Tribolium castaneum: one gene and its partner. The protein of the gene in region 1 interacts with the protein of each later gene in a pairwise test. Links are inferred from orthologs where the notes say so. Each region holds a gene or a part of one and is shown on either strand. Other genes may lie near its edges. The genes, in order: pll and Pli.

Region 1 (17,566 bases):
GATCTAAAAAAGCGATTTCACCTAGCTCTTTTAGTTTGGCCGTAATCGGCCTTTGAAAATTGAAAAATTTTTTGCGAGATATCGCCTTGAGTCCTATGCCATTTTGTAGTGTTTTTTATTCCGGTTATCCTTTATTTTTCCGTTTCTTGATATCTTTAATAGTTTCGCCGTAATTGGCGATCGAAAATTGAAAAAAAGTGAAAATGGAAACATTTTTTTGCGTTTTTCTCGGAAACTGTAAGACTTAGAGCAACGAACAAAAAATCATTTGATAGCGCTTAATTTTCTCTATTTTTTCGATTAAACCCGGAGCCGCTCCGGGTAACGGTTCCGGCTACAGAGGCGATCAAAGTTTTTCTCTAAAAAAATTCATAAAAAAAAAACTAAAAGTCGTAGAGCATTGCGGTTTGTTCGATTGAATTCTACGGCTCATTTTACATATTATATCGATTTTTCACAAGAATTAAAAATTTAAAATTTTTTGCCTAAATTTAGGGTAGCCATTTGTCATAGTGGAAAATTTTATCCAACAAAAAAATTCATAACTCAAAAACTAAAAGTCGTAGAGCAATGCGGTTTGTTCCATTGAATTCAGCGGCTCATTTTCTGTATTATACGAACTTTTCATGAGATTTAAAAAATTTATTTTTTTTTGCTAAAATTTCCTGAGTAATACACATACTTTCAGAAAATAAAAAAATAAAAAAAATTTTTTAATTTGTTTTATCATACTTTTTCGTATTTATATATGCCTTTACAACTCTCTAGAGTTGTTAAAAGTCCAAAAAAAGTCCATATGTTCGATTTTTTAATGTTTGATTTTTTCAATTTTCGTCGCAATTTTTGTCGATTTTGGGTACCCGGAACATTTGTTGAGCAATAGCTCCGGAACTATCAGAGATAACCCCATGAAGTTTATTATCGTTGGAAAGCTCTTTGAATTATCTATTTTTTTCAAGAAAAATTATTGTTCTCCGACTAATAGTTTTTGAGCAAATTGCAGATAAATGCAAAAATTGGTAATATTTTAAAAAATTCATAACTAAAAAACCATTGGGAATTTGGCAATTTTTTCGATGCCAATCGATTTCCCGGATCATTTTGCATAGGTATGGATCAAAACAGTCCCACTTTTTCGAATAGTTTAGTCGTAATTGGGAAAATAAAAAAAATTAAAAAAAAGTTAACACCCCCCCCTACAAAATGGTCAATTTTAAAAGTGTCTTAGAATCGAATAAAACCAATTTGATCTTATAGATTTTGATGTGCTCTTTCCGATCTAAAAAAGCGTTTTCTCCTAGCTCTTTTAGTTTGGCCGTAATCGGCGTTTGAAAATTGAAAATTTTTTTGCGAGATATCGCCTTGAGTCCTATGCCATTTTGTAGAGTTTTTATTCCGGTTATCCTACATTATTCCGTTTCTCGATATCTTTAATAGTTTCGCCGTAATTGGCGATCGAAAATTGAAAAAAAGTGAAAATGGAAACGTTTTTTTGCGTTTTTCTCGGAAACTGTAAGACTTAGAGCAACGAACAAAAAATCATTTGATAGCGCTTAATTTTCTCTATTTTTTCGATTAAACCCGGAGCCGCTCCGGGTAACGGTTCCGGCTACAGAGGCGATCAAAATTTTTCACTAAAAAAATTCATAAAAAAAAAACTAAAAGTCGTAGAGCATTGCGATTTGTTCGATTGAATTCTACGGCTCATTTTACATATTATATCGATTTTTCACAAGAATTAAAAATTTAAAATTTTTTGCCTAAATTTAGGGTAGCCATTTGTCATAGTGGAAAATTTTATCCAACAAAAAAATTCATAACTCAAAAACTAAAAGTCGTAGAGCAATGCGGTTTGTTCCATTGAATTCAGCGGATCATTTTCTGTATTATACGAACTTTTCATGAGATTTAAAAAATTTATTTTTTTTTGCTAAAATTTCCTGAGTAATACACATACCTTCAGAAAATAAAAAAATAAAAAAATTTTTTAAATTCGTTTTATCATACTTTTTCGTATTTATATATGCCTTTACAAATCTCTAGAGTTGTTAAAAGTCCAAAAAAAGTCCATATGTTCAATTTTTTGATGTTTGATTTTTTCAATTTTCGTCGCAATTTTTGTCGATTTTAGGTACCCGGAACATTTGTTGAGCAATAGCTCCGGAACTATCAGAGATAACCCCATGAAGTTTATTATTGTTGGAAAGCTCTTTGAATTATCTATTTTTTTCAAAAAAAATTATTGTTCTCCGACTAATAGTTTTTGAGCAAATTGCAGATAAATGCAAAAATTGGTAAAATTTTAAAAAATTCAGAATTAAAAAACCATTGGGAATTTGGCAATTTTTTCGATGCCAATCGATTCCCCGGATCATTTTGCATAGGTGTGGATCAAAACAGTCCCACTTTTTCGAATAGTTTAGTCGTAATTGGGAAAATAAAAAAAATTAAAAAAAAGTTAACACCCCCCCCCTACAAAATGGTCAATTTTAAAAGTGTCTCAGAATCGAATAAAACCGATTTTATCTTATAGATTTTGATGTGCTCTTTCCGATCTAAAAAAGCGATTTCACCTAGCTCTTTTAGTTTGGCCGTAATCGGCCTTTGAAAATTGAAAAATTTTTTGCGAGATATCGCCTTGAGTCCTATGCCATTTTGTAGTGTTTTTTATTCCGGTTATCCTTTATTTTTCCGTTTCTTGATATCTTTAATAGTTTCGCCGTAATTGGCGATCGAAAATTGAAAAAAAGTGAAAATGAAAACCTTTTTTTGCGTTTTTCTCGGAAACTGTAAGACTTAGAGCAACGAACAAAAAATCATTTGATAGCGCTTAATTTTCTCTATTTTTTCGATTAAACCCGGAGCCGCTCCGGGTAACGGTTCCGGCTACAGAGGCGATCAAAGTTTTTCACTAAAAAAATTCATAAAAAAAAAACTAAAAGTCGTAGAGCATTGCGGTTTATTCGATTGAATTCTACGGCTCATTTTACATATTATATCGATTTTTCACAAGAATTAAAAATTTAAAATTTTTTGACTAAATTTAGGGTAGCCATTTGTCATAGTGGAAAATTTTATCCAACAAAAAAATTCATAACTCAAAAACTAAAAGTCGTAGAGCAATGCGGTTTGTTCCATTGAATTCAGCGGCTCATTTTCTGTATTATACGAACTTTTCATGAGATTTAAAAAATTTATTTTTTTTTGCTAAAATTTCCTGAGTAATACACATACCTTCAGAAAATAAAAAAATAAAAAAATTTTTTAAATTCGTTTTATCATACTTTTTCGTATTTATATATGCCTTTACAAATCTCTAGAGTTGTTAAAAGTCCAAAAAAAGTCCATATGTTCGATTTTTTGATGTTTGATTTTTTCAATTTTCGTCGCAATTTTTGTCGATTTTGGGTACCCGGAACATTTGTTGAGCAATAGCTCCGGAACTATCAGAGATAACCCCATGAAGTTTATTATCGTTGGAAAGCTCTTTGAATTATCTATTTTTTTCAAAAAAAAATATTGTCCTCTGACTAATAGTTTTTGAGCAAATTGCAGATAAATGCAAAAATTGGTAATATTTTAAAAAATTCATAACTAAAAAACCATTGGGAATTTGGCAATTTTTTCGATGCCAATCGATTCCCCGGATCATTTTGCATAGGTGTGGATCAAAACAGTCCCACTTTTTCGAATAGTTTAGTCGTAATTAGAAAAATAAAAAAAATTAAAAAAAAGTTAACACCCCCCCCTACAAAATGGTCAATTTTAAAAGTGTCTCAGAATCGAATAAAACCGATTCGATCTTATAGATTTTGATGTGCTCTTTCCGATCTAAAAAAGCGTTTTCCCCTAGCTCTTTTAGTTTGGCCGTAATCGGCCTTTAAAAATTGAAAAATTTTTGCGAGATATCGCTTTGAGTCCTATTCCATTTTGTAGAGTTTTTTATTCCGGTTATCCTCCATTTTTTCGTTTCTCGATATCTTTAATAGTTTTGCCGTAATTGACGATCGAAAATTGAAAAAAAGTGAAAATGGAAACCTTTTTTTGCGTTTTTCTCGGAAACTGTAAGACTTAGAGCAACGAACAAAAAATCATTTGATAGCGCTTAATTTTCTCTATTTTTTCGATTAAACCCGGAGCCGCTCCGAGTAACGGTACCGGCTACAGAGGCGATCAAAGTTTTTCACTAAAAAGATTTATAAAAAAAAAACTAAAAGTCGTAGAGCAATGCGGTTTGTTCCATTGAATTCAGCGGCTCATTTTCTGTATTATACGAACTTTTCATGAGATTTAAAAAATTTATTTTTTTTTGCTAAAATTTCCTGAGTAATACACATACCTTCAGAAAATAAAAAAATAAAAAAATTTTTTAAATTCGTTTTATCATACTTTTTCGTATTTATATATGCCTTTACAAATCTCTAGAGTTGTTAAAAGTCCAAAAAAAGTCCATATGTTCAATTTTTTGATGTTTGATTTTTTCAATTTTCGTCGCAATTTTTGTCGATTTTAGGTACCCGGAACATTTGTTGAGCAATAGCTCCGGAACTATCAGAGATAACCCCATGAAGTTTATTATTGTTGGAAAGCTCTTTGAATTATCTATTTTTTTCAAAAAAAAATATTGTTCTCCGACTAATAGTTTTTGAGCAAATTGCAGATAAATGCAAAAATTGGTAAAATTTTAAAAAATTCATAACTAAAAAACCATTGGGAATTTGGCAATTTTTTCGATGCCAATCGATTCCCCGGATCATTTTGCATAGGTATGGATCAAAACAGTCCCACTTTTTCGAATAGTTTAGTCGTAATTAGAAAAATAAAAAAAATTAAAAAAAAGTTAACACCCCCCCCTACAAAATGGTCAATTTTAAAAGTGTCTCAGAATCGAATAAAACCGATTCGATCTTATAGATTTTGATGTGCTCTTTCCGATCTAAAAAAGCGTTTTCCCCTAGCTCTTTTAGTTTGGCCGTAATCGGCCTTTAAAAATTGAAAAATTTTTGCGAGATATCGCTTTGAGTCCTATTCCATTTTGTAGAGTTTTTTATTCCGGTTATCCTCCATTTTTTCGTTTCTCGATATCTTTAATAGTTTTGCCGTAATTGACGATCGAAAATTGAAAAAAAGTGAAAATGGAAACCTTTTTTTGCGTTTTTCTCGGAAACTGTAAGACTTAGAGCAACGAACAAAAAATCATTTGATAGCGCTTAATTTTCTCTATTTTTTCGATTAAACCCGGAGCCGCTCCGAGTAACGGTACCGGCTACAGAGGCGATCAAAGTTTTTCACTAAAAAGATTTATAAAAAAAAAACTAAAAGTCGTAGAGCAATGCCGTTTGTTTTATTGAATTCAGCGGCTCATTTTCTGTATTATACGAACTTTTCATGAGATTTAAAAAATTTATTTTTTTTTTGCTAAAATTTCCTGAGTAATACACATACATACCTTCAGAAAATAAAAAAATAAAAAAATTTTTTAAATTCGTTTTATCATACTTTTTCGTATTTATATATGCCTTTACAAATCTCTAGAGTTGTTAAAAGTCCAAAAAAAGTCCATATGTTCGATTTTTTGATGTTTGATTTTTTCAATTTTCGTCGCAATTTTTGTCGATTTTGGGTACCCGGAACATTTGTTGAGCAATAGCTCCGGAACTATCAGAGATAACCCCATGAAGTTTATTATCGTTGGAAAGCTCTTTGAATTATCTATTTTTTTCAAAAAAAATTATTGTTCTCCGACTAATAGTTTTTGAGCAAATTGCAGATAAATGCAAAAATTGGTAATATTTTAAAAAATTCATAACTAAAAAACCATTGGGAATTTGGCAATTTTTTCGATGCCAATCGATTCCCCGGATCATTTTGCATAGGTATGGATCAAAACAGTCCCACTTTTTCGAATAGTTTAGTCGTAATTGGGAAAATAAAAAAAATTAAAAAAAAGTTAACACCCCCCCCTACAAAATGGTCAATTTTAAAAGTGTCTTAGAATCGAATAAAACCAATTCGATCTTATAGATTTTGATGTGCTCTTTCCGATCTAAAAAAGCGTTTTCTCCTAGCTCTTTTAGTTTGGCCGTAATCGGCGTTTGAAAATTGAAAATTTTTTTGCGAGATATCGCCTTGAGTCCTATGCCATTTTGTAGAGTTTTTTATTCCGGTTATCCTACATTATTCCGTTTCTCGATATCTTTAATAGTTTCGCCGTAATTGGCGATCGAAAATTGAAAAAAAGTGAAAATGGAAACGTTTTTTTGCGTTTTTCTCGGAAACTGTAAGACTTAGAGCAACGAACAAAAAATCATTTGATAGCGCTTAATTTTCTCTATTTTTTCGATTAAACCCGGAGCCGCTCCGAGTAACGGTACCGGCTACAGAGGCGATCAAAGTTTTTCACTAAAAAGATTTATAAAAAAAAAACTAAAAGTCGTAGAGCAATGCCGTTTGTTTTATTGAATTCAGCGGCTCATTTTCTGTATTATACGAACTTTTCATGAGATTTAAAAAATTTATTTTTTTTTGCTAAAATTTCCTGAGTAATACACATACCTTCAGAAAATAAAAAAATAAAAAAATTTTTTAAATTCGTTTTATCATACTTTTTCGTATTTATATATGCCTTTACAACTCTCTAGAGTTGTTAAAAGTCCAAAAAAAGTCCATATGTTCGATTTTTTAATGTTTGATTTTTTCAATTTTCGTCGCAATTTTTGTCGATTTTGGGTACCCGGAACATTTGTTGAGCAATAGCTCCGGAACTATCAGAGATAACCCCATGAAGTTTATTATCGTTGGAAAGCTCTTTGAATTATCTATTTTTTTCAAAAAAAATTATTGTTCTCCGACTAATAGTTTTTGAGCAAATTGCAGATAAATGCAAAAATTGGTAAAATTTTAAAAAATTCAGAACTAAAAAACCATTGGGAATTTGGCAATTTTTTCGATGCCAATCGATTCCCCGGATCATTTTGCATAGGTGTGGATCAAAACAGTCCCACTTTTTCGAATAGTTTAGTCGTAATGGGGAAAATAAAAAAAATTAAAAAAAAGTTAACACCCCCCCTACAAAATGGTCAATTTTAAAAGTGTCTCAGAATCGAATAAAACCGATTTTATCTTATAGATTTTGATGTGCTCTTTCCGATCTAAAAAAGCGTTTTCTCCTAGCTCTTTTAGTTTGGCCGTAATCGGCCTTTGAAAATTGAAAATTTTTTGCGAGATATCGCTTTGAGTCCTATGCCATTTTGTAGAGTTTTTTATTCCGGTTATCCTCCATTTTTCCGTTTCTCGATATCTTTAATAGTTTTGCCGTAATTGGCGATCGAAAATTGAAAAAAAGTGAAAATGGAAACCTTTTTTTGCGTTTTTCTCGGAAACTGTAAGACTTAGAGCAACGAACAAAAAATCATTTGATAGCGCTTAATTTTCTCTATTTTTTCGATTAAACCCGGAGCCGCTCCGGGTAACGGTTCCGGCTACAGAGGCGATCAAAGTTTTTCACTAAAAAAATTCATAAAAAAAAAACTAAAAGTCGTAGAGCATTGCGGTTTATTCGATTGAATTCTACGGCTCATTTTACATATTATATCGATTTTTCACAAGAATTAAAAATTTAAAATTTTTTGACTAAATTTAGGGTAGCCATTTGTCATAGTGGAAAATTTTATCCAACAAAAAAATTCATAACTCAAAAACTAAAAGTCGTAGAGCAATGCGGTTTGTTCCATTGAATTCAGCGGCTCATTTTCTGTATTATACGAACTTTTCATGAGATTTAAAAAATTTATTTTTTTTTGCTAAAATTTCCTGAGTAATACACATACCTTCAGAAAATAAAAAAATAAAAAAATTTTTTAAATTCGTTTTATCATACTTTTTCGTATTTATATATGCCTTTACAACTCTCTAGAGTTGTTAAAAGTCCAAAAAAAGTCCATATGTTCGATTTTTTAATGTTTGATTTTTTCAATTTTCGTCGCAATTTTTGTCGATTTTGGGTACCCGGAACATTTGTTGAGCAATAGCTCCGGAACTATCAGAGATAACCCCATGAAGTTTATTATCGTTGGAAAGCTCTTTGAATTATCTATTTTTTTCAAAAAAAATTATTGTTCTCGATAACTCTAATAGTTTCGCCGTAATCGGTAGTCAAAAATTGAAAAAAAGTGAAAATGGAAACCTTTTTTTGCGTTTTTCTCGGAAACTGTAAGACTTAGAGCAACGAACAAAAAACTATCTGATAGCGTTTTCTCTATTTTTGCCGATATCTTCTGAACGATTTTTGCAGATTTGGATTCCGCTACGTTAGAAACACTACGTTACGTTAGAAAAACTTAATCATAAGAAAATTCTCGTGAAAAGTTGGTATAATACAGAAAATGAGCCGCTGAATTCAATGGAACAAACCGCATTGCTCTACGACTTTTAGTTTTCGAGTTATGAATTTTTTTGTTGAATAAAACTTTTCACAAAAAATTTTAAATTTTTAATTTTTGTGAAAAATTGATATAATATGTAAAATGAGCTGTAGAATTCAATGGAACAAACCGCAGTGCTCTACGACTTTTAGTTTTTTTTATGAATTTTATTAGTAAAAATCTTTGATCGCCTCTGTAGCCGGAACCGTTGCCCGGAGCGGCTCCGGGTTTAAACAAAAAAATAGAGAAAATTAAGCGCTATCAGATGATTTTTTGTTCGTTGCTCTAAGTCTTATAGTTTCTGAGAAAAACGCAAAAAAAGGTTTCCATTTTCGCTTTTTTTCAATTTTCAACCGCCAATTACAGCCAAACTATTTGAGTTATCAAAAAAACGAAAAAATCGAGAACAACCGGAATAAAAAGCTCTACAAAATAGCATAAGACTCAAGGCGATATCTCGCAAAAAAAATTTCAATTTTCAAACGCCGATTACGGCCAAACTAAAAGAGCTAGGAGAAAACGCTTTTTTAGATCGGAAAGAGCACATCAAAATCTATAAGATAGAATCGGTTTTATTTGATTTAGAGACACTTTAAAAATTTACCGATTTTAAGGGGGGGTGTTAACTTTTTTTTATTTTTTTTTTATTTTCTCATTTCTGGCTAAACTATTCTAAAAAGTGAAACTATTTTGTTTCATACCTATGCAAAATGATCCGGGGAATCGATTGGCATCAAGAAAATTGCCAAATTCCCAATAGTTTTTTAGTTATGAGTTTTTGAGCATATGATCTAATTTTTGCTTTTATTTGCATTTTCTCGAAAACTATTAGTCGGACAACAATATTTTTTTTTGCAAAAGATAGATAATTTAAAGACCGGCACTCAATAGTTTGACAATATTTTTTTGACAACCACCACCACGAAAATGTCATTTATAAGTGGCAAATTCAAACCGTGGGATTTTAAAGGAAAATTACAAAGTTTGACATGTAGTGATTTAGTGAGAATAATGATTTTTCGAAAATGTTGTTTTTGTGTGCCTTTACGGTGTGGTGCTGCTATGTTACTTGTCCTCCAAATGGCATGTTTGACGCCTTATACGATATACAATCCCACCGCAAAACTAATTTTCATCTCAATAGGAATCATGATCCTTTTGGCAACAGCTGCAGTGATATTTATGTGGGCTATTGTATGGGAAAAACCTAAATATCTTTATGCAACACTTGGATTATCACTGGGATCCATCATTTTTTATTTTGCCACAATAGATTACGACTATTCTTTTAAGACATCAACAACACCCACAACAAAGAAAGAAGGAACTGTTCATTTAATCCTCTTGATTAATAACACCACAGGAATATTAACATATTTTTATTTTATTTTTATGTTATACAATACATATGTTAAGTTACAACATAAAGCTAGAAAAAAACAACAATCTACTGTACTACCACAATAAACCATTTGTTAATGTGTCCGGTTTTGTCTTTTTACCACGGTCGGACTTTGCCTTGAGTTGCGTGAGTTAAAATCCATGTATTTTTCGGGTCTTTAACCATTGACATTTGTTTATGTCTACCGTGAGTTTTACAAAGGACATAAAGACGTTGCTCTCGCATCACAAAATAGCAGTCTTTACAACGTCTATGCAGCTTTCCTTTTACTTTGAAACCACAACACTGTGTTTGGTTGTAATTCACAGCGGCTAAAAGTTTGCTCGGTGATGTTGCAATCGACGGCGTAAATATGTGATAATTCTTGGAAGTTGCAACAACAACAAAGGGGCACTTTCTAATCACATTAATTACATTTCGAATGAGTGGAAACATTTTGTGAAAGATGAGGTTAGAAAACCGCTTAGGGATTTATCATTAGAAAAGTTACTAGGATTGGTGACAGACACTGCTGACTGTCACTGCTTGTCAATGTAACATAACCCAATTTTTTTATTGTTATTTTTTTTAACGATGTTTATTTACGATATGCCGTTTCTCGAACGTAAAAAACTCTGTAGTATTTTGGATCGGAATAATTGCTTTGAGGAATTAGCTGCGGTTCATATGCAATTTGATTCTGAGACGGTCCAAGTGAGTAAATTCGTATTTACTCTAAAGATACCTAATTAGCTTTACCTAATCCATTTTCAGAAAATTAGTCGCGAATTTTTCAGAGGCATTTCCCCAACTGAAAAACTCCTCGACTTATGGAGTCATCACAACCATACCGTTTTTGAATTGTTTATTCTCTTGTATCGAATGAAACATTATCAAGCCATGACAATCCTTAAACCACTTGTCGATTCAAAATATCATCATTTGATTAAACAAAGTACTTGTCTTCCTGAATTAATGGCCGATTTAAAATTAGAACAAGAGCCAATAACAAGTGAAAAAATACTAAACGCTCCAAGTTGTGAAAACAATGAAACAAAGCCCCAAAAACCAAACGGAATCTCGCTTATTTCTTGTGTGACGGAATCTGTGGGAGCTGTTCCTCAAATTCCCTATGATGATTTAAGACAGTCAACAAATGATTGGAACACTGGATCGATTCTGGGTCGTGGAGGCTTTGGGACGGTATTTAAGGGTGTTTGGAAGTGCACTCAAGTTGCTATTAAAAGAATTGAGAAAAAAGCGGATGACAATTCGGATCAAATTTTTCAATCCTATACAGAATTACATTGTTTGAATGCATACAGACACGATAACATTTTGCCACTTTACGGGTACGTATAAACCAATTCAAATTAGACATGAAATATTTATTATTTTTATTCAGGTATAGCATTGACGGACCTCAGCATTGTTTGGTATACCAATACATGTCCGGGGGTTCCCTCGAGCACCGTCTCCACATTCGTGATGCGTCACGTGTCCTTTCATGGCCAACTCGTCTCACAATCGCAATTGGAACCGCTCGAGGTCTTCAATTTCTACACACAATTCGTGACAAACCGCTTATTCATGGCGACATCAAGTCTGCCAACATTCTTCTCGACCTAAACGAAATCCCTAGAATTGGGGATTTTGGTTTAGCTCGTGAAGGGCCACCACAAACCGATTATGTTAAAGTGAGTCGTATTCATGGAACGAGGCCGTATCTTCCTGACGAATTTATGAAATATAAAAAATTTTCGACCAAAGTTGATACTTACAGTTTTGGAGTTGTTTTATTCGAATTGGCGACAGCTGGAGCTGCTTATTCAAATAAAAGGGTGAACAAGTTTTTGAGAGATCATGTCGTGTTTTGGGAAGGTGATGTGTTACAATTGAAAGATTCAAGGGCTGAAGGAGGAGAAGATTTTTTTAAGGGATTAGTGGAAGTTGGAAAAGGGTGTGTGAGGACGGGGGCAAAGGACCGACCGGAAATGGTTACGGTTTTATTGCAATTAGAAGCTGTGATGAATCAATAAATTTTTACATACATTTTTTACAATTGTTTCATTTCTCTAATCAACATTTTCCGTCAATTACTTTTATAATTTACGGCTATTGATAATCGCATTCTACACAAGGTTACAAGGTTATTCATTTCGACTAATTTTATCAGAAAAAAAGCAATGTGACAGTTGATCGGTTTTGTGGACACTACTACAATTCAAGGATTTCTTTATTGTATAATAATTAGTTTTCAAGTTTTCATTAACAAATAAGGTTTGTTAAATCTGCTGTTGGCTTTTAATTTTTGTCATTGCAGAAGAAAACATTTTGAGAGTCACTGGTCGACGACGCCTGGGACGTCTCGCTCTATCAAAGTGGGCAAGACGACGCCCTATTAACGTTACGACCACCACAGTTGTTTTTCCAAAAATATTATGTAGTCATCATAAATCAATTTACATGTAACAAAAAAAATATGGGAGTGCAAACCTTCCATCAAACAATGGATAATCGAATAAAATTGTAGAAATTTTAAGGTGAGTGAGTGTTTGGCAATAAAACAATTACGATTATCGATTTGTTTGTGTTTTTCAGGCTTCCAAGATCACGCGCGCGATTTACAACAAACAGTATTACAAAATTGATAGCAATACGAATAAATAAATTTTTTATAAGAATTTTGTTTAAAGAAAAATATTAAATAATTGTTAAATTTCCAATCAAAATAATGGACAAATGCATGTCACTAGAGTTAGATATTGGATCTTGGCAATATTGTTGTTTTTATATATAGCAGGCGTCTTATTTCTATCAGCGGTCACTCTACATGAACCCAAAAATTTAACACACGGAAAAGTAAGTAAAAATGATAATTATTGGTGTTATTTAATTGTTTTTAGCAAACGGACCGTAATCAGCCCTTTTCCCGTCTAAAAAACTATGAATATGGAATACCAGGACTTAGACCACCTCTTCGTGGTCGTTCCAAAATCCAATGGTGTTCCACAGAGCTGAAATACATCCATCCAGCTATACCACCCGTCGCCTTGGTATCATTTCCGGGAAGCGGAAATACATGGTTACGTTACTTACTTCAACAAGTTTCCGGTTTTTACACCGGTTCGGTTTACAAAGATTACGGTTTGTTGAAAAATGGTTTTCCCGCCGAAAATATCGCCAACGGTTCGGTTCTTGTCGTAAAAACACACGAATGGGGTTACAATGCTCGGAAAATCTTTTCGAAAGCGATTATATTGGTTCGTTCACCGGCAGCTGCGATCCAAGCCGAATTTAACCGACAAAGCGGTGGTCACATTGGATTTGCATCACCCGATAGATACAAACGGACTAAAGGAAAATGTATATTATTTATTGTATTGATAATTTTTTTAATAACTTATACTTTTATCAGATTGGCAACAATTCGTCAATGATAAGCTCGAAGCTTGGAAACAAACCAATCTCGACTGGTTATATAATTTTACAGGACCAACGCACGTAATTTTTTACGAGCAACTTGTCGATAATCTTGAACACACCCTCAAGACGATTATAAATTTTCTCGACATATCAACGGATGAAAATTTATTCAAATGTGCACTTGAACGAAAGGAAGGAATTTATAGGAGGAAACGTCGAGTGCTCAATTTCGATCCATATACGGACGAAATGAAACGAAAACTGGATAAAATACAAAAAAAAGTCTACGAGGCGATTTATAATTTTGCGACGCCGAGTTAACAACAACGTTGTTGCGACAATAAGGCCTTTTTAAAACGAAACGAGTGGCCAAATTTTTCTAGTATCTCTCTTATTCATGTAAACAGTGGCAATCAACACACGATTATAGGCCTAAAATAAAATTATACAAACACAATTTTGCGACTTATTTTCATTGCTCAAATTTGAATTTACATTAATAATAATAAAAGGTTGAGAATCGCTGAACTCGTAAAGTGATTTATCATTTTTCGACGTTGGTAATTCTGTTCCCACTATCATCAATAAATAATCAAGTTTGTAGTGGTAGAAAATTAGTTCGTTTATTTATTTTTCAAGTTTTTTCAATAAACAAAGGTAAGCCCCTTTATCCCGCCAATTTCCAGTAAATGATTATGTTTTTGTCGTACTTTTTACTCGATTTCATCCTCCTAACCTCTAAATGACACATGGCCATTTTGTTTCAGTTTTTTGAAAAGATGCAACAAGAGAACGCCGCCAACGGCCCCCAAAATGATTTAAATGTGGGGGCCGGAGATCAAGTCGAATGTGACAAATCGAAACTTATCGTTAATTACATCCCACAATTCGCAACTGAAGAGGATTTAGCTCTAATTTTCACTCCCATCGGACGAGTGGAAAGTATTAAAATAATGAGAGATTATAATACGGGCTATAGTTTCGGTTTCGGTTTTGTCAAGTATTTCAACGAAGAAGATGCCGCGAAAGCGATTCAAGTTATCAACGGAATGAATTACAAGTAATTGAAAATTTAAGATTAGAACTGTATTTATTACTGTTGCTATTGTCTTGTAGAAACAAACGCCTGAAAGTGTCATATTCGCGTCCTCCAGGTGCCGATATGAAAGCATCCAATTTATACATCACTAACTTACCCAAAGACGTGACTGAGGACGATGTTCACAGACTCTTTTCAAACTATGGAGAAATCATCCAAAAGTCCGTTTTAAAGGACAAAATTACCGGAATGCCACGTGGAGTTGCCTTTGTCCGGTATAATAATGATGATAATAATAATTATTAAAACTTTGTAAATAATAATTTGTTTTTCGTTTAGTTTTTCGCGAGGAGAAGAGGCCAAAGCTGCCATAGCCGACCTTGATGGCAAACTGCTTGAAAACGCAATGCTTCCGTTGAGTGTTCGCGTAGCAGAAGATCACGGCCGTCAAAAAGCTCAATATTTGGAAAATTGGAGTTTTTCAATGCACAACAGGGGTAAGAAACGGAGGTTTTGACTTAATTTTGGCATTTCGGGTGTTTAGGTTTTGTACCACCGTTTCGAGGAGGGACAATGAATCCCTTCAGGAAAATGCCACCACAGCCGCCTGATAATTTACAAAACCGTAATCGCTTCCAAAATTATAATTCGAATAATGTGAGAAATATGGGAGCAGGCGATAATTATCTACAAAATTCGTTTTTTTGTTAATTGCTTCATTTTTTCTTTTTTGTTTCTGACTGAGAATGGTTTTTGTGTTAATTGAAGAGTTGATTTTATTTTACAAAGTTTCTATATTTATTTTTATATTGATAGAAAAGCGTGCCAACTAATTGTATGTTGAACGCTAAATACAATAGACATTTATTTATTTATTATTATATATATTTATATAAAATAGGAAAAAATATGTACGCAATTGATGTGCCTAAGAAAAAACTTAACACCAGCTATGGTTTTTTTTTTCTTTTTGACACACAAAATGTGTTAATTTTTTTCTTAACCAACGATCTGAATAATTTATTGTAATTTATTTCTAGTTTCAAGTGAATAAAATTTTAATTGTTGTTTTCTATATTTTTTCCTTTTATTTAATAAATTACCTACTAGGTTTGGTGTTTCTTCATCTCTGCTTCTTTTGCCCTTTTCACTTGCATTTCTCTTTGTTGTTGTAGCACTTTTTTAAACACATCGTCTTCTTTTTCATTATCAACATCTAATAAAAGAATCAAATCAAATAATAAATTAATCAAACAAGTCCCTACTTTGTTGATATGGAGCCGCCTGTTCTTCACCCTCAGAGTCTTCACTACTGTCATTACCTGGATGTCTTAGAAAAACATCAGACAATTCGGCCCCAGCCGACAACGTAAAACATTGTTCATTATTTTTCGATTTTTCCAATTTTTGTGCTTCTGATTGTTGTTTTATTTTCAACCATTCGCTTCTATATTCACTAAAATAGATATAAATAAATAAATATTCCAGTAACTACAAAATATAGAAATAAAGTTATTACGTTTCGTATAAAATCCTAGCTTCGTCTATTAGTTTATATAAATCTTCAAGTCCTTGTCCTGTGGCAGCGCTTACTCCACAAACTTTTAAATTTCGGTAAAACTCATCCAATGTTAAAGCCATAGACCTCGTCAAATTGCTGATGTAGCTTTCGTCGTCAGCAGCTTCAAGTGCTTGTTGAAACGACTCAAAATCGGTCATCCAATCAACAGCATATGAATGATCAACGATATCAACTTTATTCATAACAACAATGAAAGGAAGACGCGTTTTATACAAAATCGAGCAAGCGTAAAGCATGTTTGACATAAACGTAACAGGAGAAGTACTTCGCACACAATCAACAACGTATAAAATGATTGTTGGTAAAGTTGAAGCCAAAGTTTCGGTAATAATCGAACCCGAAACCGACCAAGTAAACACCTCAATTTGACCAGGAGTATCCAAAATGCACAAATCATGATTCGACTTTTCAATAAAACCAATCACTTCAGAGAATTTCGTTGAAAATAAGTTCAAACTTGTGACGATAGCACCATTAGGGCCTAATTTGTACTGCTTCATAACCTCCTTGTAATTTACCGTATCTCTAATATCTGTAATTTAACATTAAATCCCAAGAAAACTTTGACGCCCGCGAATACTTGCCAATATTAGCGAAATAGGGTAAATTGAAACAAGCAGGGTCCAAATTCACAACGTACGGTTTTTTCGGAGAATTTGATAAGCGAGTAACAAGACAAGTTTTGCCAGAACCGGCCATTCCAAGCACTATTACACTCACGGGAGCTTTGCCCCCCGTTTCGGACATTTTTCATAAAATAAAGTGGAAAAAAAGTTTGGTTAGCTTCATGACATTTGACAGTTGGAACAGAAGCTGTGTATTTAGGTTCAAACAATCTTTGCAAATTTGTGCCTCAAGACAGAAAATTTTTGATTGTATATAATAACTTTTAAATCAATTCATGTAATCGCTTTTGCACTAACTGGATTTAAAAAACCCATAATTTAATTTTTACAAATTCTCCAGTGGCGTACTTTCTGGGGTTCTTTTTTTGAAAATTACATTTAAATCACAAAAATGTTCACTTCCGTTTCGGAATGATGGCATTGACCTATGATACTAATACTTTCATGTAATAATAAGCAATGCAATTATCTGTTTGGCCTTGATTTATGTTTACATCACTGATCTGTAAATGTGTCTCTATCCAACTCCAATCCAAAGTGCTCACGCAGATAAGTTAAAATTTCAAGTTTAGATAATAATTATTATTATCTCAAACACCTGTTTGAAACATTTAATCGAAATTACTTCTAGTCGTGACCATGGAGCTCTTACTCAATTTTTGTTATTACGTAACACTTTTTCTAATTCCGATCTCACTCTACGTTCTTGTATTCCAACATCGGACAAAAAATCGTTTTTACACAAACCGAGGTATTTATTTCTTTCCATAATTAATTATGTATTTACTTGATTAATTTTAGATTGGTTTTATATAATTAAATTCCTAATCGCAAAATCGGCCGTCAAAAAACATCAAAACAAATTCAAAACAAAAATTAACATAACCGAAAGTCCAATAGAAATTCGGACGGAAAATGTAAAACATTAAACTAATCTATTAGATAAGTTAGTATCAATTAATATAATTTTTTTTACAGTACTGTGATAATTATTTTATATATGGAGCAGATCAAAAAGGCAATAGTCTATCGTTACGTTTTATAATTGGGTCAGGTCTAGTAGGCGAGGTTTTTCTTTGTTTACGGCTT
Region 2 (16,021 bases), on another chromosome or scaffold:
TTAAAAAAAGAGGAGTTATGTTCTGGAATTCGGATGTCTTTGCAGAACCTTGTAACTTTATTGAAACTTACATAATATTTGTCTTTATTTTTTTCAAAGAGATGCTCATTCTCTTTCACAAATACTGCGAGACTGTAGATATACATTGATGTTAGAGGTAGAATTCCAAGTGATTTAAAAAAGGGCTTACGACTCTCATGTGGTTTTTTGAAAAGCATGCATCGTATGATTCTTTTTTGCAACACAAAGGCTTCTTTTGAACTGGTAGAAGAGCCCCAAAATATTAATCCATACGAGAGAGTAGAGTGTACATACGCAAAATAAAACATTTTTAAAGTATCTATACTTACACTAGTGCGCAAGTTACGAATAATGTATGAATATTTGGCTAGTTTGCGACATACATAATTACTATGTGCGTTAAATTTTAAAGCTTTATCGATGTATAAGCCTAAAAACTTTACTTCATCGGCCAACGGAACAGATTTTGTACCAAGCTTAATATAGATACTGGATGACATTGGGCCATTTCTATATTGTACCACAACAGTTTTGTTCATATTTAAAAAAACGTTTAGTTTTTTAAATGTCGTCAAAGAACGTTTTTTTTGCTTGGAATAGAGTGGGTGCCCTCAGTGTTTAGTTATTTATGATAATTTTCCAGAATTTGGTTATTTCTACTCACGTCCTGCAATATCTGATGTATTTTTTGATGAATTCGAGCGAAAGTTCACCGTCCCTGGGTTGGTTGACTTCGCCCGCGTTCATGTGCACGCCCATGATATGCCGGGCTAAAGTCTAAAAGCATTTAATAAGAAACGAAATAAGTTATTTTTTTTTGTTACCATATCGCGCTGTTGGTCGTGTTCATCCTTCACAATGAAAATCATATCAAAACGTGAGAGAATCGTCGGCATAAAATCAATATTTTCCTCTCCCTGAAACCCAAATTAAGTAAATTGTGTAAAATCAGTTTGGAAAAATCACTTTTGTCTCATCCCAACGCCCGAAAATGCTATTAGCGGCCGCTAGAACGGAACAACGCGAATTCAAAGTTGTGGTAATCCCCGCTTTCGCGATCGAAATCGTTTGCTGTTCCATTGCTTCGTGAATGGCAACTCGATCGTCCTCCCTCATTTTATCAAACTCATCAATACACACAACTCCACCATCGGCCAAAACCATCGCACCTCCTTCCATGACAAAATTCCTGGAGGAAGGTTCCCGCATTACCGACGCCGTTAACCCAGCAGCGGAGCTCCCTTTGCCAGAAGTGTACACTCCAATGGGGGCCACCCGTTCCACAAACTTCAATAATTGCGACTTGGCAGTTCCGGGATCCCCCAATAATAAAATATTAATATCGCCACGTCGTGTCAAACCATCAGGCAGACGTTTGCGGGAACCCCCGAATAAAAGACAAGCTATGGCTTTCTTAATATCAAGAGCTCCGAAAATCGACGGTGCGATGCTATTGGCGATTCGTTCGTAAATATTGGGCGAATCGGCCATTCGCCGAAACATGTTTTCTTCTTCGGCGGTCACGACAGAAGTCGGGGAACCACCGACACCTTCAGTGTCGAGTTGCACCCCCACGACGCGAATATACGGGGCTCGGACGCCCGTTGTGCCGCGCTCACGGTCATCACGCTACAAAACGACTGTCCTAAAAAAATGTAAAAAAATATTTGGGGGATTACCCGGCCCACTTTTGCGATTTTCTTGATCGAGTAAATCCCCAAGACGAAGATTCGGTTCCCGGGGACCACTTTCTCGCACAAGTAGCGGTCGCAGTAGAGGGTGAGGTGTCGGGGGATTTCCCCTTGAGGGATTCCGTCTGGTAGTTCTTGCAATTTGAGGATTTGGAAATCGACGCAGTGGCATTTGTCAGGGATTATGAAGTAGGGGTCCAAGGGGCACTTGGCCTGGCCTGCTTGCTCCCTATTTTTACGATTAACAATTTTTGAATTTTTGTTAACTCACGTGTTGCATTTGCGTGGCATAACATAGCCTTCCATCCCGGGCTTCACAGGTAAATTGGGGATTACGTTCTGGCACGAACGGCACTGGATTGCGATTTTCGTAGCTTTGGCTTTAATCCCTGACGCACTGACCACAATCCCTGGGATTTTCACTAGTTTTGAGACAACGTCCGACTGAAATCATGCGATTGTAAAGCGGTAAACCCCCGAAAAAACCCTACTTTCATGTTCCTTAAGTTTGTCGGAGTGGCGTCTGAAGACAGCATAATTTGTATGTCTTCAACTGCTTCCTCTCCTTCGGGACGTGGGGCTGTGAGTTCGTCGGCCACTTCCTTGGCCGCTTCCTCAAATATAACCAAGTGTTCCGACGGGTGTTTGTATAGTTTGTCGGCCAACGTCTCGTCAAAAGCGCCAACATCTTCAATGTTGACTTCCAGGTAATATTGGCGCAGGTTGTAATTGCGCTTCAGGGTGTCCCTATAAGGGGGTTTCAGTGATTTTTGGCAATAAATTGGAAACAGACCTGTATTTGTAGCTGAAATTGTCGGTGTGGTATTGTCGGATGAACTCCTTGAACTTTTTCTTAACACCTTGTAAATTGATTTGGGGGTCGCTTTGGTTGTCCTCAACCGTGAAATTATCACTGTAAAACACTCCTGGATCATCGAAACCTTCCATTTTCGTATAAAACACCGATTTTGTGGCGAATAAAGCGTTGTTGTTACACGGAAGTAAATTGGCGGGAACTTTGCGCCAAAGCTGCCAACATTAGTGGTGACGTTTGGTGCCACAAATTCACTAAAACTGGTTTAAAAATTCAAATTTGAAATTCTTTATTTATTTCGAACGTTTTCAAGTTATGAACTTGGTTTAATTTGCCGCTTCTGTCCTTTGTTAATAATAATTGGCTCATTTTTTGCTAAAAAACGCAATAATGTCGCAAAAATTCAGCAAAAAAAAATCAAAAAAATCACTGAATTAGCTCAAAAATTGTCAGTGTCACTTTGACAGTTCCAAAAAAATGGCATTTGAATAATTTGGGTAAAAATAATAAAAATAAATAAATCTGACCCAACATGAAAGAAACTGAACCGGACGTTGTTTCGATTTTAAATTTACGATTCAAAAAAATTCTTTTATGTGATTTTTTTTTGACGAGGGGGGTGAAAAAATTTTTGCACTTCTGCGCCCCTCCAGCCTCAAATTGCATCATCTCCGCCCAGATCTAGGCCGCACCACTGGCGTATTTTGAACAAGTTGAAACCAGTCAGATTGGTGGATGTTGGGCGCTGATTCATCCTCGAACCAATCGCTTAGTCGGAAGTGCCACAAAACCTGCCAGATTTCGCCTCCACAGAGCAAAATCTGCGAAAATGTTGTGCTCGTCTTTGTTTTGACTTGTCGACGCAAAGTCATGACAAGAATGGATCTTTCCACTCTTTCCTATAATATTCTGCGCGATTCGGTGGTTGTCGTGACTTGTCTTCTGATATTTAGTGGTGACTTTACGGCCGGAAAATGGACGAGAGAAAAATGGAACCGAAGGAAGTTTCCACTGAAGTTTTAGTTAAAGTGTATTGCGAAATTGAGTGGTGTTTTAGTGACTCTGGGGATAATAACATGCTAATTAAGAAAATGAAGTTGTAAGTTTGCCATGTTTTTTGTTGTTTGTTTTTCTTGTATTACTTTCTTCTTGTGACATTGATATTGATAACGATGTGATAAGAATGGTTGACTATGAACTGCCTAAGACTTAATTTTTGAATAGGTAATGTGAGAATTTCACCACTTTGGCCTTGCCTATGATTAGTCAGCTAAATTTTTCAGAATTTTGAAAAAAAGGCCCCAATATTTTTTTCAAATAATAAAATTACCAGCAGCCAAAAAATGAACATGCACAATTTTAATTTTCAGGGTGAGTAAATAGTGCCAATTAACACTTTAGCAAAAACCTTATCAGGGCCTTTACATTTATTTATATTTTCTTTTGAAACCGATCGTTTAAAACAATATCGTATTTCAAACGTGAATTTGATATTTGTTGGCCTTGTTTTGCAAAATTTAGAGAAATTCTATAGACGAAAAATGCTTTAACCCGATAGAAATATTAAAAATAGGGAAAAATACCACATTTCAGAAGCAATTTTGTTCATTTTTGCTTTTATCTTAGTTAAATCTGTGAGTATACGCGAAAAAAGCTCGGATACGGCTCGATTTGTAAACTTCATTATCGTAATAAATTCTCGTCATTCTCGGTAAATAATAACTCTACAGAGTGTTTCTTTTTAGTACTAAATTATCGCTCCTTGGAGCATATTATTAAAAAAAAGATGCCAAAGAAAGACTTTCTTTGGCACCCCTGTAGATTAAAATTATGTCTAGCCGCGATGTTTTTTTGTCACTTTAAAGTGAAATAAAATAGTTTTCACTGGTAACAAGTTTTTCTTGATCTTGATCTAAATCTTCCAAATTTTTATAATGTCTATTGTTACACCCTAAAGTCTGATTAATTTAATTTATTTATTAATTTATTAGTTCAGTAAAATTACAAAGAGAAAATGTATTCCGACACCATGTTGGTAGCGTTGGTACTCCTGAAAGCCGGCCCTGACCATTGCAATTTCCCACCGCCTTTTTTGCATTAGGCCATTTCGCATTTACGCTGACAAGGTGATAATAGATTTGGTCGATGAATCGTCAATAAAGACATTCAAAAATTCGCCAAAATCGTGCACCCCGCCACTGTCGTCTGTCATTTCGCTTTTTCACTTCCGGTCCCAGCAGATGTCAGCACTCGCCCAATGTTTACATCCCACCGTCGACGTCCCCCACGATCGACATCCATCCACCGCGCCATTGTTATCGGTAAAAGTGCGGAGAGTGTCCGTGGAAAAGCATCACCGTGCGTGTTTTTCCCCTTGGAAGTCGTGCTTTCATCGCAAACGGTGCGAAACCTCCGTGAAAGCGTCCGCCAGTGCAACGAAGACGGCCGTGCCTAGTGAATGCGTGTGCCACCAGTGATAAACATGCACGAATCGGCGGCTCTAGTGATGTTTTTAGTGAAGCAACGACACCAGTGATTGATATTTTTATGCGTTTCGAATACGACAATCGCAGCCAAACTGTTTAAGACGGCTTCAGAAATGGTGAAAAGGTGGGTACTGGCACCACGAGGGGACTTCATCACGATTTAATCGCTTCATTATTGATTTTGTGCGATTATTATGACGACAAAGGGCCATCGCGACGCCTGATTGTCACTGGAAATGTCAACGATCGGCGATTTTTTATCGCTGGCTAAAGGGGCGTTCACACGTGTTGTTGACAATAACAAGGGACGAAAGTCCACTTTTCCTAACGGTGTGCCTTAAGACGTGATCGAAAAATTAGACAATTTTGGGTCACATGTGGGTACAGTACCGCTAGGAAGTTTTGGCCATTAGTTGCCGGCCTGGCCAAAATTCTCGGTCACGACTGTACATTTCTAATTACCATTTATCAGTGATCTCATTGGTGTAGTCGTAGCATGTTTTTCATGAATTATACATTACAAATAGCTATTAATGATGCACGTGCTTATTAGCGTGAGTAATTGAGATTTTCATACAAAATTGAGCAAGTTTTTAACCTCGTTTGACGATATTTTGTTTGAGTTTTACAAGAGGAAGTGCTTATCTGTTTCGCAAGATAATAAATATTCCAAGTCGAAGATTAAGGACTGAAAACCAAAGATTAATTCTAGAGGTAGTTGGTCACAAATTGCAAGAAACTGAATGAATCACAACAGAAAAATACCAGTCACTCTTACAAATTGTAGAGTAGTGGAACTGAGAACTAATGCAAAGTCCACAAGCAAATTTTTTTTTTGCATTTTAACCCAAACATTTATATAATTACGTCAAGAATTACTTTATTTTGAGTTCAAAAACTCACTTATTGTGCGAAATTTCCTTCCAACACGGCAAATAATTTCCAACTATGGTCGAAAATACTGAGTTCTGAGTTTTTTGATAAGTGAGAAATTAAGATTTTTCCGAACGTAATCAGTTCGCTTATAAATAAATGCGTGAATGCAAAATTTGAAATTGAATTTTTAAGAAAAGTAATAAACAATTGGTTGTTCCTAAATTGAATCATTACCTCACAGGTCAGTTTTTATCTCAGTTTAAATATTTGTATCGACTGATTTATTTTTCTACAAAAAGATCTTACTTTCTGAGACCTTCAGCAACAATACTATATATAGAAATTTGAAAGAGAATTATAAAATAAAAAAAATAGTTTATTATACAAGTAAAAAAAAGTTGTTCATTATCTGTGAGTGATGGGGAAAGGAATCACGAGCAGACAATGCCAATTTTTTTTGCTCTAGGAAATTTTAACTTTCGGCAAAATATGACCAAAGTATACATTAAAATTGACTTTCGTTTCTCCTTTTTAATAGCGAGAAACTTTTTCTGGTGTCAAAATAACTTTCAGGAGATGTACAGCAATGATAAAAAAACTCCACTGACTTTACTCTGACGTTTCAATTTTTGTTACCATAGTTACACATACGTCAGTGCATTTTTTAGCAACTATACCAACCTAGGGATATGACAGGGTGTTCAAATAAAAATATAAAAAAATATTTCAGTTTTTTGTTTCTTGAATAACTTTAAATGTTGAGATTGCGCCGCCTGTAATTGCAGATACGGGTTAAAAATGTGGAATAATTAACCTGCTACTTGAACTTTGTTTCGCTCCTGGCCATTTGAATTGGTAAAAGCCGTCGTTTCTTGTTTATTTTTTTAGGCATTGACCAACGGTTGGATTATACTTTTTATTCACTTGAGTAATGCGGGCACGCACCACCATTTTTCTCTTTGTTAAATCGATCTTTTATGGAAATTTGCGTCAGAGAATGACTCGGATAAAAGCAACGAAACGTCGATTGTTCCGGTCGTCCTCAAAATTATCAAGACTAGAACAAATATTTTTTTCGCCAACATTGCTTATCGTCAATATTGAACGCGAAAAACCCTAGTTGTGTTAGTCTTTGCAGTGCTGGTAGCATGTGTTGCTTGAAATATCTGTCCGATTCGATATTCATCAAGTATTTATTCCAAGTGTTGTGTGTGTGTGGTGTGCTTGGAGAGCGTGTCCAGATGAACTTTTCCCCTAGTTTCTAACCCGTTTTGTCCCTAGTCCCCGATGAAAATACACGTTAAAAATGCATGTCATTAGTTACGACAGGCTCGCTACGTGAACAAATTCGCATAAATATTTTAATACAGTTTATTAATCTTGACTCACTTTCGCGACCGAAATTGGAGGAATTTTTCAAATTCTTTGTTTAATAACCGTTTCAAGCGCCAATTAGTCAATGACGTCCAAAGGTAATTTCTATCATCGGGCGAGAGCATTGCACGCGATAATGATCAAAACAATGATGAAGGTTTTATATCTTTATTTTTGGCACGATAACGCGCTGCGTCGTCTTTTTTTGTTGTTGCTTTATTGTGTTATTACGATTCAAGGAAACGGAACAAATTTGAATAAAAACGGTCACAAATAAATAATTCATCCAATAATTTCGAAAATGTTTACCCGCCACAACAATTTTCATTTTTTTCGATTATTTTACACACAGCTACTCGATTTTTTGAACATATGCCGCACGTAATACGGGGCCCCGGGCAGTACAACCTTTTCCTCTTCGTTCTTTCGTTGTTATAAACCGTTGGCCGCGCTATTGTCCGACTTACGTACGTAAAAATGTAAAAGTGGATTTTCCGTGTTCCATTAATGAGCAATCGATTTTTGGATAATTGCCAAATAAGTTTTGCGTTTTTTCATTTGGTTAATTTCCTTTATCGGTGTTATGGTCATTAACGAAAGAGGTTAGTAATAAACCTTCGAATTTGTGCCTCGACGGGTGAAAGGTTTTTCAAATCATGATTCGGAGTTGTTTCCTCGGGTCAACAAAACGACCCGCAACCATGCACTCAACGAGATTATAATTGAAGTAACGTTTCTCATCGAATGCAAATTAGAAACTGTAACACCGCGTATACCAAGCTTATACAATGTCGTAATGTTTATTATTTTAATAAAAACAAACGCAAGTTCTCTTGTTAGCGGCTAAGTTATTGCAACACGCTTTATTTTTTTAAACAATGGGTACCAGAAACGACCGTTCTTCGACAAGTGTGTGTGTAATTCCATTAATGTCGGAGAGAGGACAAAAGCTTGTTTATCATTTCGACAACTATGTCTCTGTTTCTCGCTAATTAGAAGGGAAATGGATTTTTTTCAAAGATACAGAAAAGCCTTCGAAATTTTCCTAAAAATGCAACAACAAAGTTTTTTGTTTAGGTATCTTCACTATAACAGATTATAGATTCACTTGTTTGGGTAAAATATAATTCTTGTCAACGTATATTTCGTGACCTTCACCCAGTAAACACATTCCAATGAGTATTTAATTATAATTTGTTAATAATTTAATTATCATATCGTTTACAAGTCTGCTTTCGATAAAACCGTATTTAGAGCGCTTCAAGAATGTCTGTAAAATATTAACACGTTATTCAAGAATAAGAATTAACTTGGAACATGCTCGTCTTAGAAATTAGTTGAAAATGTATACTATAATTTTTTTTTTAAAATACAGTGAGATTCAAAAGAGTGGAATAATCTCTCAGGTGATAAAGGACAAACTGAATTTAAAAAATTTTGATTGGATTACGAGTTATTTATTTTGATTGACAATTCGGAAATAAAATTAACTAGACGCCCTCTGGTGATGACTTTTGAACTATGTCGAAAACAGTAAAGAAATTTTCGTAATGCCACATTTAACTGACATTTAATGAATTGTTCAACAATTTTGCGTGTATAGTGTTAATTACTTACAACAGAAAGGATTACTTTAAAAGTACGTGGTGGTAAATACTAGCGTTGACTTTGGTTCTGTAGTTTTTCGTGGTATAAAGTGTTTATTGTTGGAACTTGAAAGTGGATAAAAAGTGAAAAATATTTAAATTTTGATTACAAAGTGTTATCAAACAGTTGTCTAATTAAAGATTATAAGTAATGGATCACAGCGAACACAAAGTTTGGCTCAAGATACCAATAAATTAGTGAAGTGCTATGAATTTTAGGTTAGAATTTTCCAATGAAAAAATCATGAAATGCTGCGGTAAATCTACAAAACTACAATAAAGATTAACAACTGCTGATACATTTAAACGTAAATTATGCCAAAAGGTAGGCTTTTCAATGTCTTTGTAATAATTTTCCAATAAAGAAAGTGAACCAAACAGTCATTCGTTATTCGTGTTTTCCTCGTCATCTCTCATTTGTCAACATAAGTTTCTTGCATCAAAGATGCAATAATCATTCCGCATAGGCAATTTAATAATTGTGAAGCCCCAAAATTCGTACAACGCTCAAAATATCCGAATAAACATTAATTTTATTTTTCCCGCCATTTATGGTTACTGTTTTCGACCTAGCTCAGTGGCGCCTCCAACGGTAATTTTACTTCCGAATTATAAGCGTCAAAAAAATGCCAATGTTTGTCATGTCATGTCATGACGTAAACATGGATAAAATTCCATTTTATCGTCAAGTTGGAATGAAGCAAATTATCACCGTTTTGATTTTTTTTGGTTTTTTGTAATTAATTGGAACAATTTGGGAGCAGGTGAAATGTGAGAAGCCAGGAAACTTGCGACCTTTTTCCACTTGACAGGTGATTAGCCAATCAAGTAAACTAAATGATCAGTGGGCGGAAAATCGAAAACTGCGGATTTTCCCCGGAAAATATGCGACGAACGTGGCCGACATTCCTGCGTTAATAATACATTTTCTCCGGTCCGTTTGTAATTAAAGGGTCAGTGGAATGAATATATTTCTACCAAGTTTAGACAACGGTCCATTAGTTTGTCGACCACGCATCGTCCGTGGGGTAATTACCGGTTCACTCAACCCGAAAAAATAATTCTCTTGTCCAAATAAATACGTACGCATTGTTGTTGATTTGATATCAGATGCAGGTGTTTGCATCTCTTTGTAAACTAAAGTCGGAGCAGGAAACGGTTTCAGCATTCAGAATGCACAGTTAGAAAATGAAAATAAAAGTCGATGCCTGCTTTCAGGAAATATCTCTTCGGTTCCAGATCGTTGCTGTTGCTGCTTTTAATAGAGCGTCTTATGTAAGACGTGATCCTGGTCAGTCGGGGATTTTATACGTGTATTTATGTGAGGAGTCGCGTCCTATTTACGGTCTATTAACATCGGGAAGGGTCGATAACCGACTATCTCCTTCGAAAACACACACAAAACTTGAAAAAAATCGTACTGTGTGGGGATAGGCTACGAATTTTTTTTTGAGGTTGGTCATTGACAGGTGAAGTTTCGGTCGATTAATTAAAAACTTGTTCCTCTGTCTACGGCTCCGAGACAAGTCTGCAGCAAGTTGGTTCTTGTCGTCTCAGAATTATTTGATTTAATGTCGGAGAGAATAATTTTTACATTTGAACAAAAAAAACACTTCCAAGTTCTTGCGCCATGAGGTTACTCGGCTATCAATCAGAAACGAAACAAATCAAACGAAATGAAAACCTGAGTTACGCTCTTGCAAAACTATGGGACCGAATCTCCGATTGAAAAACTAGCAAAAATCGCCTGTTTTTTGACTCAGCTACGCCACTGCGTCAGCTACCACCTCGTACCACTCAAGAAAACGGATCGGAATTTACTTGAAACAAGTCGGGGAGTTACCATAGTTCCAAGCATGCAACGGCAATAAAACCGGCGAAAATTCCTATAATTACGTCGGAATCGGTGTTAATTACGGTTTTTTCGTTTCGTCGGACTCAACTTTCAACTCTAGTTGTATTGATGCGGCCTTAAATCCGGCATCAATCATTCGGCGAAGACATATCGCATATCTTATTGGAAGAAAGCGGTCGATATGGGGAGGATGTTCCGGACGAATTATTAATAAAACGGGTCAAAGTTGCACACGAATGGCACCCCTGCGTGCACACTTTGTACGTGGGAATTTATTTATTGTCAAGCTTCTTCCTTGACCTGTTGGTGAACATAATTATAATCACGAAAGTAGCCAACTTTCTTGCTCAAACAATGTGTTTTTTTATAGATCGGATGGCACCGAGTCTCCAATATTAGAAGAACAAGAGAGTGCCAACTCAGAGAAACCAAAACAACTCGTCAAATATGGAGAACTAGTCATTTTAGGGTAAGTGTAAGGTTTCGATTTGATGATCCGATTAGAAAGAAAAGTCTCGTGTGACATTTATAGGGGTTCTGCAATTGCCTATATTCACCTCTAAACATTCGATTAAGTGCAGTATGGTTCCAGTAACACGTTTAATCAGCGCTTATTTAGAGAAACCGTGCGTTTTTCCTTCCTTTTTAATTATACAAATACATGAGTGTGGACGTGATCATTTGCCTGTCACCGTGAACCACTTTCTTGCGGTTTTGTGTTGAAAAAAGTGTGTTGGCCTTGTGTGGTAAAAACGCGAGACGTCCCTTCCGTTTTGTCTGCAATACTCATTCCAAGTTATTATCTTATCCGCAGTAGAATTTTTGTTGAAACACATTGTAAAATAATTGCTAAACCACAAGTTCACTGTACGGGTTCATTGTTACATTTGTTTGGCAGCTAAGAATAAAATTAAAAAACCATTTTTTTCATTTTCGTTGTCCCGCTTCTACTTTTGTTAAAAATAAGTAAATAAATGCTATTTTCTAGTAGTTAGCCTTTTAAGTAATAAGCTGCTACAGTGCAAAACAGTTTTTGTTTAGATCATTAATTGTTTTGTTTTTTGAAACATTTTTATTATTTTACTTGAATAAAAGTGAAAAAAAGCAAGCATCCTGAGTTTAATTAAATTTATTACCAAATTATGATTATGATGAGACAGAATAGGATTTGTAATAAAATTTGATTAATTTCAGTTACGTGATTTTTTTGTACTCTGAATGGTGGTCTAATCTTATATCTGATTTATTTTCATTATTTAATACGAGAACCTACTTAAAATAGAAAAAAAATTGTTTCACCTCTTTACACATTTAAGATTTTATATCGCATCTTATTGATTATTTTTATTTGAAATACATAGTAAAATAGTGAAAAAAAGTATTAATAGTTTTTAGTTTTTCCATATTTTTTATAATTTCCCTTATATATTTTTTTTTCGTTTTCTTTTTCCTACATACAGTTTGATTTTTGTCTACGAAACATCTATCTGAACGATTAATTAGTTATACGTAATAGAAAGTTTTGGCTCTTCTTTTCTTACCTCGATAAAATAAACCCAAACGAGGTAAATTTATTGCAGTTATTAAAAAAGTTTAAAATTGTCATTTAGTGTAATTAATCAGTGCTTTGTTTAAACTTTCTAATTCATAAAATAAAATAATACACGAAATTATTTTTATCTCGCACTTTCCAATTTATTTATTAATTTACTGAGAAAACATTACTTTGATTTTAATTCGGTTTTAATTTGGCAATCTTGACTTTTAAATTAAAACTTAATATAATTCCGTTTTGCAAATATATTGTTTAGCATTTTTTGCAATATTTTACATACTTTTGCCACTAGACGAAAAAAATGTGGATTTTGGTATTTTTCGTAGAATAATTCTAAAATGTTTGAAGCGCTTTTGAAAATAAATTTCAGCCCGGATTGTTAAATATTTTGAGTAAAATGTTTACACACTTGTAGGTTTCCTCATTCCACGCACCTAACCTGCTTATTTTGGCTCATCTGCACGCTTATAAATATTTCCCTTTGATTCATTTACTTTCGGAGTGATTTTTTTTCACCTTGACATTCTTTCTGTCTTTAGATACAACGGTTTTCTACCTCAGGGCGACCGAGGCAGACGACGTAGCAAATTCGTATTGTACAAACGACCAACAGCGAACGGAGTCAAGAGATCGAAACACTATGTCGTCAAAACGCCCCATTCGTCTCAGGCCATCCTGGACGCAAACCAGCACTCGATATCCTACACACTTTCACGCAACCATGCCGTCATAGTGGAATACACCCCCGACGATGACACCGACATGTTTCAAGTAATTGAGCGTTTTTTGCATTTTAGAGTGTTGCCAATTTTTTTCTTTAGATCGGTCGTTCGTCGGAAGCCCCCATCGACTTCGTGGTCATGGACACCGTCCCCGGGGACAAGACTGGCGAAACCAAGGTGATGCAAAGCACGATATCGCGATTTGCGTGTCGGATTTTATGCGATAGGAAGAATCCGAAAATTGCGAGGATATACGCCGCCGGTTTTGACACCTCCAAAAACATATTTCTCGGGGTATTTTAACAATGATTAAATGGAAAAAAATAGTGTGATGTTTTTTTTTTTGCAGGAGAAAGCAACGAAATGGCAGGAAAACGGGCGCGAAATCGACGGTTTGACCACGAATGGTGTGTTAATTATGCATCCAAGAGGGACGTTTTGTGGGGGAGATGCCAAGTGTAGTTATTGGTTGGAGACGTCTGTTGGTGGAGGTGTGTTTTCGTTGAGGGAGTCAAGGTCGGCCCAACAGAAGGGCCAAGTGGTGGAAAACGAGACGAATATTTTGGAAGATGGGACTTTGATCGATTTGTGCGGGGCTACGCTGTTGTGGAGGTCGGCAGAGGGGCTCACAAAATCGCCGGTAATAGACCAGTTAAATAATCATCACTAAGATACTTGTTTTGAATCCCTAATCGTCTAACAAAAAATGTTTTTTAATTATTTTGCAAAAAATCACAAGCAGGTATTTTGAAGTTTAATTTTTGAAAAAAATAAAATAAATTGCCTTTTATATCTAAACGAGCCGCCCATGTGGGTGGGTTCCTAAAGTTGCCATAGAAATGCGCTGCAATATGTCTGTAACTGTGGTAACAAACAGTTGCCACGGTAAAAACCGCCACAATAACAATAGAAAATCAGCTCAGTGGCGGGTAAAACAATTTGTTTTTCGTCTAATTTTCAGAGCAAACGCGACCTGGAGCGCGAAATCGACGAAATCAACGCCGGTCGCCCGCAGTGCCCCGTTGGCTTGAACACTTTAGTCATTCCCCGAAAAGTCACACCGAACGAAAACCTGCAACAGCCTTACGTTTATCTCAACTGCGGACACGTCCAAGGCTTGCACGATTGGGGCCAAGACAAGGATTCGGGCGCCCGAAAGTGCCCCATTTGCCTAGAAGTAACCGATTTTCCAATTTAGTTGCGAAATTTCTGACGTATTTTTTTAGTTGGGACCGGTTGTGAAGGTCTTTATGGGGCTCGAGCCGGCGTTTTATGTCGATTCGGGGCCCCCGACGTTCGCGTTCAACCCGTGCGGGCACATGGCCACCGAAAAGACCGTCAAGTGAGTTTATTATTATTATTATTTTTTGATTGGGTTAATGTACGTTTATTGCAGGTACTGGGCAAATGTGGCTATTCCGCATGGTACGAATGGGTTTCACGCCGTGTGCCCCTTTTGCGCTTCGCCCCTGGCGGGGTCTCCGGGGTACGTCCGCCTAATTTTCCAGGATAATGTGGATTGAAAGGAATGTAGAGTAGTCCACCAAAGCTTTATTTATGTTTTTGCTCTTTTATTTAATGTATAATTGGTTTTTAGCAGTCTCATTTATTAATTTTTTGGAAATTACCCAATTGTAATTACTTGTAATTATTGTATATAATTGCACTTGAAGATGGGAGCGAGCCGAGAATTGCAGTTGTATCATATCATGATTTTTTTAATGGAAATTGCGGTTTATTACAGTGCAAATGCGTGAATCGTTAAGACTGGTTAGGATTTAGCTTATAATGTAATAAGTATTTAATATAAATCGACCTGTTAATGCAATGTTTTATTCAAAAAAAATATTTTTACATACTTAATTGACCCAGATTTTTTGATTTTATCGTGATAACAGGCTGTCTCAAAATTGGCGAATTTTAGTTCAGAGCTTTGTAGAGAATTGCTTCAATAGTCCAAATATAGAAAAAAAAATTAAGATTCTGGGTTTCAACCAATGTCTCTGCGGGGAAGTCCCAAATCTTCATTTTGTTTTTACATTGGGACTACTGAAGGGATTCTCTACAACGCTTTGAACTCGGAATTCGTTAATTTTGAGACACCCTGTAAGTTTCTCCGTTAGTCACTTTTTGTATATACTAGACGATAAGTTGCCGTAGTTAATATTTAAGCTACTATAGTCCCACGAAATGAATTTATCTGTGCCTGGATTCACTAAAAAAAGTTTAAAAATTGAACTATTTGTTGTTATTTATAACCCCACAAACATGTTTAACAATAACATATTACAAAATATTACCCCAAGGACTCGAATTTGTTACGAAAGTTTAATAAGAGTCCGAGTGTTTAACAGCATTTCGTCGCCGTTTTTTTACGATTTAACTTCGTAATTTTACATTAAACGTTTTTGTGAGCCAATTTTAATAATTTTTGCGATCTAGGCGGCTGTGAATTTCGTATTAAGGAAATTTGCCATCGTTGGGGTCATTGAACCCAAAAATTACGACCAAAAGACACACATTTTCACTAAATCCATATTAGTTTCACTCATAATGTCTTTGATAAAAATTGAAAAAAAAATTGTCTTAGAAGTTAACCATTACCACAGCCATTACTAACCAAATTTTGTACTTACTTGAAAAACACCGAAGCCGCCGTTTTTCTCAAGACTAACCACTCCACACCGAAACACTCAGTCTTTTCACATTTTTCTGTAAATATTTGTCCAAAATACACGCATTAACACCTTTTCTTCGAATTAAATTGTGGAAAATGCGACCACCATTAAATTTGACCCACCGCCAATTGTTTCATTACCAACATTAATACAATTAAATCACTAGATGTCACAGCGCCTAAATCAAACTTTTGAATTTTCAATTGCAAAATACTCCGATACTATCGCCCGTTATTTCCAAGTTTTCCTTACCTCAATTTGTAAAAAAAACACCAGACTCAGTCATTTGCTTTAATTTCACTA

The links.
Region 2: the proteins of pll (region 1) and Pli interact in a two-hybrid assay, tested with the Drosophila melanogaster proteins (2 studies listed by BioGRID). The link is inferred for Tribolium castaneum from reciprocal best matches to the Drosophila melanogaster genes pll and Pli.

The regions. Positions count from the first base shown.
Region 1 is NC_087401.1:17,594,394-17,611,959, reverse strand, and holds pll (serine/threonine-protein kinase pelle), read left to right. Parts: upstream 1-9,328; 5' UTR 9,329-9,506; intron 9,507-9,567; 5' UTR 9,568-10,398; coding exon 10,399-10,518; intron 10,519-10,578; coding exon 10,579-11,156; intron 11,157-11,209; coding exon 11,210-11,843; 3' UTR 11,844-11,866; downstream 11,867-17,566. Other genes in the region: WSCD family member AGAP003962, read left to right, coding at 12,547-12,666, 12,711-13,170, 13,223-13,551; Sxl (sex lethal), read left to right, coding at 14,010-14,290, 14,347-14,544, 14,609-14,766, 14,814-14,980; GPN-loop GTPase 1, read right to left, coding at 15,376-15,485, 15,535-15,725, 15,789-16,383, 16,436-16,598; rifampicin phosphotransferase-like, read left to right, coding at 17,117-17,228, 17,279-17,394, 17,456-17,566. UniProt on the Drosophila melanogaster protein: Plays an essential role in the Tl receptor signaling pathway that establishes embryonic dorsoventral polarity; the signal directs import of dl into ventral and ventrolateral nuclei, thereby establishing dorsoventral polarity.
Region 2 is NC_087396.1:20,935,296-20,951,316, reverse strand, and holds Pli (protein pellino), read left to right. Parts: upstream 1-3,189; 5' UTR 3,190-3,500; coding exon 3,501-3,625; intron 3,626-4,755; exon of another isoform or gene 4,756-5,125; coding exon of another isoform or gene 5,126-5,136; intron 5,137-6,994; exon of another isoform or gene 6,995-7,036; coding exon of another isoform or gene 7,037-7,077; intron 7,078-11,133; coding exon 11,134-11,232; intron 11,233-12,857; coding exon 12,858-13,089; intron 13,090-13,139; coding exon 13,140-13,334; intron 13,335-13,389; coding exon 13,390-13,680; intron 13,681-14,001; coding exon 14,002-14,217; intron 14,218-14,266; coding exon 14,267-14,382; intron 14,383-14,436; coding exon 14,437-14,563; 3' UTR 14,564-15,278; downstream 15,279-16,021. Other genes in the region: DNA replication licensing factor Mcm5, read right to left, coding at 686-798, 846-938, 988-1,650, 1,701-1,941, 1,984-2,156, 2,204-2,459, 2,506-2,660. UniProt on the Drosophila melanogaster protein: Scaffold protein involved in the Toll signaling pathway via its interaction with pelle/pll kinase.